Linked DNA regions of Coturnix japonica. The protein of the gene in region 2 interacts with the protein of the main gene of each other region in a biochemical or structural test. Links are inferred from orthologs where the notes say so. Each region holds a gene or a part of one and is shown on either strand. Other genes may lie near its edges.

Region 1 (4,183 bases), on a different chromosome or scaffold from region 2:
CATTTTTGCTTTGATGTCTCTGGCAAGAGTGAAAAATGCCTGTAATAAGAAATACAGTTAATAAAACACAATCTTAACAGCTTTGTTTAACAATAATCTGCCCTTCTGACTGTAACAGCCCATATGAAGTATCAGCAGTTGAGTTCTGCACTCAGTCAGGATGGGCAACTGTTCTTACAGCTTATCTTCACGCGTTATAAGACAATAAATACAAGAGAAAGGTCGCAGTACTTACATTCTCTATGTTTATATTTGCTTTTGCACTGGTCTCCATGAATTTAATTCCAAAACTCGCTGCAAGCTGAACAAAAGCAGGTTCTGTGTTAGTCGGGTGGCTGCAGGAACAGCCATAAACATAACAGACAGCGCGGGATCTCCTCCACAAACCAGGAACTGAGCTGCATTGCTATCAGCATCTGTTCTTACTGGACTTTGTTCTTCTTTTTCATAGAACAAAACACACATTTTTGTCTGCTCCTTTGTCTTTAAATACATACATCTATTTCTAACAGATACCTTGTCAGTTCTGTAACGTCTGTGGTACATAAAAGTACATTCTCTACTTTAACTGACATCCGATGCCAGAAACAACAACCCTGCCTACCTGTGTATGACAAAAGCAGCCATTCCTAAATGATTTTCTTTCTTTGGCTGAGAACTCAGTTACTCCGCATCTAACATCTCAACCAGGTAACCCAGCTGCATTCTGAACAGACTCATCTTTTTGTTGGACTGCAGCTACAGCTTGGGAAGCGTTCGGTAGCTGCACTCAGAAGTTCCACTGAGGAGGCACACACAACGATGAGCGCTGCTGTTACACTGCAGCACAGGCTGCTTCTGCTCAGGCAGCAACTGCACTTTGCATCAGTGCTGGCAGGAAGGAGCTCAGCAGGCTCTGCAGACACTGATCACCCCAGGGAGCACTGACTTCTACGTACTGCCTTCACCTTCAGCATCTGGGCGCAGCCCGTGACACTTACCTTCTCCCCTTGCTCTCTAGAAACTTGTCTTTTGTCATTTGCATCACATTTGTTCCCAAGGATCATTTTTTCAACGTCCGGAGAGGCATGCTGAGATAGGAACAGAGGAAAGAAAGGACTGTGTTTATGTCTTACAAATACTGCCAAATGACGAGGTTTCCATCAAGAACTTCAAATGGATACATGGGTGCTGAGCACTCTGTAGGTTTCTGAGCTCCTGCACAGCACCTGATCCCAGCACTGCACTGCAGGCACCGACTGCTCTGTGAGCGCCCTGTGAACCATCAGCTCTGTGCCAGGAAAATCAAATCAAAAGCACACACTGCAAATTTGTTACCCACAGCATTCCCTGACTTTCATTTAATCTATTTTCTACCCACTCTAAATTTGAAAGAAGTGTTACTGAAGCATTTAATTTCCAACTGCTTTTGGAGGGAGAAACAGCACCTTGAATGTCAAGTAAAGAGAAGTTACCTCTTCAATGTTCCTGACCCAGTTCCGAATATTTTCAAAAGACTTTTCATTGGTGATGTCATAGACCAACATAATGCCCTGAGGAGGAAGGAGAGATACTTGTTTTGGCTATGATCATATATGCAACAGTTAAACCTGTCTGTAACAGAAAGGAGTGCCTTAAGGACTGATAAAGAAGAGCTGTTTCAGCACAACCCGGAACGTCAGCGCGTGTTGCCAGATGCAATGATGGGGTGTGAGCTCAGTGAGTCACTGCAGCCGTCTGCCCCGGGCCCTCCCAGCACCCAGCACAGCGCCGGCGCTCAGCCAAGTCCAGGCAGCTGTGCCTGCAGCACTGCAGGCTGCTCTGATACTGCTCTGCTGGGAGCCGAACCGCCCTGCGCCGCGCTCCTACCATGGCTCCCCTGTAGTACGCCGTCGTGATGGTGCGGAATCGCTCCTGCCCGGCGGTGTCCCTGCAACAGATGGAACGAGGGGTCACACACCTCCCACCTTAATGCTGTCAGACATTCATGTCACACGTTGGTCTTCACGTGCACTAAAACTGCTTTAGTTTAATGATACCGCTGAAGAGCACAACTGCACACAAAGTAACAGCACTGCACTGCAGCACCGACTGCATCAACGAGCCTCACCATATCTGCAGCTTGATCCTCTTGCCATCGAGCTCTATAGTCCTGATCTTAAAGTCAATGCCTGCAACGACAAACAACTCATTACATTTAACTTCTACAGAGGACAAACCAACGCTTTTCCCTCCGCTTCCCCCCGACCAGACTGTGCCGCACAGCGTCCCCACGGCCGGGACGGAACCGCGGCTCAGCGCCCGCAGCGCCCCGCGGGATCGGACCCGAACCGAGCGCAGCGACAAGGCCCGCAACGCACCGCCCGACAGCACCGCCACACAGACAGCACCGCCACACAGACAGCACCGCACCGACCGACGGCACCACACTGCACTGCACTACGGCACCGCACGGCCCGACGGCACCGCGGCGCGGCACGGCACGGCACGGCACAGCCCCGTCCCGGCCCGCAGCGCCCCCCGCGCTGTGTGCAGCCCCGGCCGCCCCGCGCACCGATGGTGGAGATGAAGGTGGCGTTGAACGCATCCTCGGAGAAGCGGAAGAGCACGCAGGTCTTGCCCACGCCCGAGTCGCCGATGAGCAGCAGCTTGAACAGGTAGTCGTACGTCTTCGCCATGTTCCCGGGCGCCGCCCCTGCGGCACCGCCCGCCCCCCGCGCCGCCTCACAGGCCGCGCCCGCCGCCCATCACGGCCCGCAGCGCGGCGATTGGCCGAGCGGAGCGTTACGTCACCGCCGACCCGGTGGGCGGGACCTCGAGCCGCCGCGCCATTGGACTCCGCTCGCGACGTAAGCGGCACCGCGATTGGCCGCGCGCTCCCGGCGCAACGTCACTTCCGGCCGCGAGCGGAAGGCGCCCGTCTCCGCGCGAGTAGAAGCCGGAGGGAGGGGACGGGGCGCGCGGGCAGCGTCACGTGGCCTGTCGGCTCGTGACGTCACCGAGAGGCGGCGCGGCGCAAGGAGCGGAGCGGCGGGAATGGCGGAACACGTGTAACACGTTTAATGCGCGACGCCACGTCCGGGATGAGCGGAACCGGGACGAGCGGCGGCAGAGCGCAGCGGTGACGCGATGAGGGCGGGTTTCGTCTTCCGGCCGCGGCGTTCCCCGGGTCATATACAGTTCAGTTCGTTTAGTGTCTGGTCCAGCGTCTGGTGCAGCCCCAGGTTCTCCTCCTTCGCTTGAGCGAGTTTGTCTGGAGGAAGGGAGCAAAAAAAAGGCGTAAAGCGGACAGTGCTGCGCTGCTGTGCCGTACAAACACCGCCCGATGCGCCGGAAACAACAGCGCTGTCGGGTTTGCGGTTGCTCCGGTTTTTCGGAGCTGCCCGGCGCCCCCCGCTGAGCACCGAGCGGTACTTACAGCGTCAGTACTGATAAGGAAACAAAGCCCCAAAGCGGACAGGTAAAGGCATCTGATCTTTATTGAGCGCAGTTCTTACAGAGCAGGCTGAAGGATGGATCGCTTTTAGCACAGAAGGAATTACAGGCAAGAAGAGCATAAGAGATACAGCAAACGGAGCACCGAGAGGTGCAGACTACAGGGAGGTCATGTCATTGAGCGCGTGGTCCAGCTCCTCGCTGATTGCTTTGTACTTCAGTTTCTGAGCATACAGCTCATCTACCAGGCAGAGGCACAGAGAACAGCGCAGGGGGAGAGGCGGACAGCAGAGGGCACGAGGACAGGCAGAAGGCAGCAACCAGAGCAGTTGGAGGGGGATACAAAAGAAAACAGAGCTATGATGGAGCAGCAGTGCGGAAGCAGAAATACAGAAATATGGGCAGCTGCCACGTCAGACACTTCATCTACAGATCTCAGTTATTTCTCAGCCATCGGGCTAAAGAGCATCACGACTTTGTTACTGATTGAAATGGGTCTTACGATTCTAAGCTTGTGAGCTGGCCCAACAAAAGTTCATTGTTCACAAGGATTTGATAGAGAACCCCTTCCAGAGCAATTCTTCCCTGGCCATGAGGCAGCACCAGCCCTGCACGGCCCGCCCGGACAGCCGGCACCTGGCTGTCCTTCCCCAGCAGAATACAAAACCCATTTGAAAAGGAATGTGTAATTTCGTACCTTCCAGATCATCAATGGACTTTTCCAGTTTGGCAACCGTTCTCTCAGCAAACTCAGCACGAGTTTCAGCCT
Region 2 (2,719 bases):
GAGCCGAGCTTCCTTTTTTTCCTCAGTATATCCCCTGTGTGATACAGTGGGATGTTTTCCCTGCCCAGTCAGGTATTCTCATTTTGTGTGCTTCATTACTCCAAGACTGCAGCTCTTCCTGTCTCCCTCCCCCAATAAGCAAGAATGGGAGCCAACTTCAGGGAAACAAATAGGGGAAATTGGACTTGACATCCTGTCGTGGGCTGCAGAACAGTGCAGTGAGAGGATGTTGTGCAGCTGGATGGCAACAGCAGATGCTTTCTGTTGTGGATTTATTCGGGAGTCTGGTTCTCTCTGTGAGTTGCTGCTGCAGACTCAGCCTTTTGCATTGCTTGGGGCCCAAGCCTGCAGGTGCTGAGCTAAACAGAATTTCCTAAGAAATGTGGTTAAGGCGAAGTGCCATCCCAAAGAAGCCCCTGTGGGCAGTTGTGCTGGCTGAGCTATCTCGAGCAGAAACCAGACCTTTGGGCCAAGAGTGGGGAGTGGCTGCGTGTTGACCCAGCTGTCACTGTGTCTGTTCTGGCTGCTCCAGCAGTGATGTGTTAATCCAGCCATTGCTTCTTTGCAGACTGGGGTGGATGCTGCTGGCCTCCCCCAGTACAAAGGGGAGCTGGTGGTCTCCATGAAGTACATCCCATCTTCCAAGCACCCTGGGGCTGGAAATGGCAGAAAGGGTGAGTGCTGGAGCTCTGACAGCTCTGTGTAGCCTGGGGGCTATTCAGTGCCCCCTACAGACACGTTGGAAATTCCCAGTGGTGAAAATTGATTAAATCTTGCTATGTTGTTTTGGATTTTCTTAGGCAAAGCAGGAGAAGGTGGTGAGCTCCAGGTCTGGATCAAAGAAGCCAAGAACCTCACAGCTGCCAAATCAGGGGGCACGTCAGACAGCTTTGTGAAGGGGTGAGTGTGGGTACTGGAGTGGGAATTTAAGGGAGATGGAAGTGAAAGCTCTGCTCCCTACTTGCATTCCAGAGCATGTCCTGAACCAGAGTGGGGATCTGGGGAAGGGAAGTGTCCTGCATTTGTACCCCCTGCCCATCTGTCTGTTCATCTCTTAGTAGTGATGAATCCTGGTAACAAACACTTCTCTGGGTTTTGGCCAGCTGAGAGGAGCTGCTCAGGGACCAGGAGGGCTGTGGCCCATTACTCATGATTGCAGACTGTGCAGAGGGGTCCCCTGAGCTGGGGAGGTGGCTGTTCTCTTTCTGTAGAGGCCTGGCCCTTCTCTCAGGCTCAAAGCTGGGAGCCAGGACTGGCTGCTCAAGGAGATGCCCTCGAGTCATCTCAGAGGTCACCAAGCAGCTGTGACTTTGGCAGTGCTGGTGTGAGGGCAGTTGGTCTTTGGTGTCTCCTGTGTGCAGATTGCTTGCAGCCTCCTGGGCTTCTGGGAGACACCCACTTCTTTCCAGACCATCATGTCCCATCTTCTCAGTCCTGGTGGGGACAGGTGGGATCCAAGGCAGACATCAGACCAAGCTGCCTTAGCTTCCGAGGGAGAAGTTAGCTGCATGTGTGTTGCTAACTCCAGTGGGGATGCTTTCCCCAGCTACCTCCTGCCACATAAAAACAAGGCCTCCAAGAGGAAGACGCCTGTGGTGAAGAAGACCCTGAATCCTCATTATAACCATACCTTTGTCTACAATGGCATCAACCCTGAGGACCTGCAGCACATCTGCCTGGAGCTCACTGTCTGGGACCGGGAGCCTCTGTCCAGCAATGACTTCCTTGGAGGTGTTCGCCTGGGTGTGGGCAATGGTGAGGAGCTCTGGGGGCGAGGGGCTGAGGAAGGCTGTCACTGCGGTGGGAGAGGCCCCACATGGCTCCCAAACCCCTGGACAAGTGCTTTTGCCTGGAGTCGCCTCTCTGCTGCAGAGGTGCTGCTCCCATGCAGAAACAGGCTGTAACTAACTTATGCCCATCTCCTTTCTCCGAGGCATGAGCAACGGGCAGGCTGTGGACTGGATGGACTCCACGGGTGAGGAGCTGAACCTGTGGCAGAAGATGCGCCAGTACCCAGGCTCATGGGCAGAGGGGACACTCCAGCTCCGCTCCACCATGGCCAAGCTGAGGCCCTAGGCAGCAGAACAGGCACCAGGGCTCACCCTGGGGCTTGCACAGCTGCTGTGGAGCTGCACTCACAGCATGGCCAGATGAGTGCCAAACTTAATTATTATTTTTTTGCCTATATTTTAATAAACATGACCCTTCTTTAAACAGGCTTGGGCAGAAAGTCTTCTTGGCCTAGCTTCTCTTCAAGGGTTTTCCTTTTGTTTTAGGAAAACCAAATTTGGACCAAATGTAAGGCTGAACTTGAGCCCTTGTGGGACCTCCCTTCTTTACCCACAGGCACAATGCTTTGCAATGTGGTTAGGTTTCCTTTTTCCCCTCCAGTTCTCTCCCTCCCACCCTCTGTATTTCATAACCTGCTCCCTTATTGTCTCTTCCACCCTCCTCCCAAAGGACAGTGCTGGCTCTGGGACCCAGGGGCAGAGAATAGACCAGTTCGTGCCCCAGCTGTTCAGTCATAGGGAACACTGGTGGGGCCATGCTGAACTGACCTTTTTCTACAAATTTATTAATTTCAAGGTGATATTCTACTGCCAAAACATTTCCCAGGAAGGGTGCCACGATGCTGGGTGTAAGGAGAAGCAAGTAGATTATGAGCCTCTGTACTGGATGTCTGTTACTGTCTTTGCTGAGCATGGGGCCATTTGCTTCT

Evidence for each region. The genes of interacting proteins can lie anywhere in the genome.
Region 1: the proteins of SYTL4 (region 2) and RAB8A form a complex in vitro, tested with the Homo sapiens proteins (2 studies listed by BioGRID). The link is inferred for Coturnix japonica from reciprocal best matches to the Homo sapiens genes SYTL4 and RAB8A.

The regions. Positions count from the first base shown.
Region 1 is NC_029543.1:3,483,377-3,487,559, forward strand, and holds the start of RAB8A (ras-related protein Rab-8A), read right to left. Parts: upstream 2,888-4,183; 5' UTR 2,658-2,887; coding exon 2,534-2,657; intron 2,151-2,533; coding exon 2,090-2,150; intron 1,910-2,089; coding exon 1,849-1,909; intron 1,533-1,848; coding exon 1,455-1,532; intron 1,071-1,454; coding exon 981-1,070; intron 302-980; coding exon 236-301; intron 40-235; coding exon 1-39. Other genes in the region: TPM4 (tropomyosin alpha-4 chain), read right to left, coding at 3,573-3,655, 4,112-4,181. UniProt on the Homo sapiens protein: The small GTPases Rab are key regulators of intracellular membrane trafficking, from the formation of transport vesicles to their fusion with membranes.
Region 2 is NC_029519.1:4,996,704-4,999,422, forward strand, and holds the end of SYTL4 (synaptotagmin-like protein 4), read left to right. Parts: intron 1-568; coding exon 569-674; intron 675-800; coding exon 801-900; intron 901-1,546; coding exon 1,547-1,755; intron 1,756-1,933; coding exon 1,934-2,076; 3' UTR 2,077-2,218; downstream 2,219-2,719. UniProt on the Homo sapiens protein: Modulates exocytosis of dense-core granules and secretion of hormones in the pancreas and the pituitary. Interacts with vesicles containing negatively charged phospholipids in a Ca(2+)-independent manner.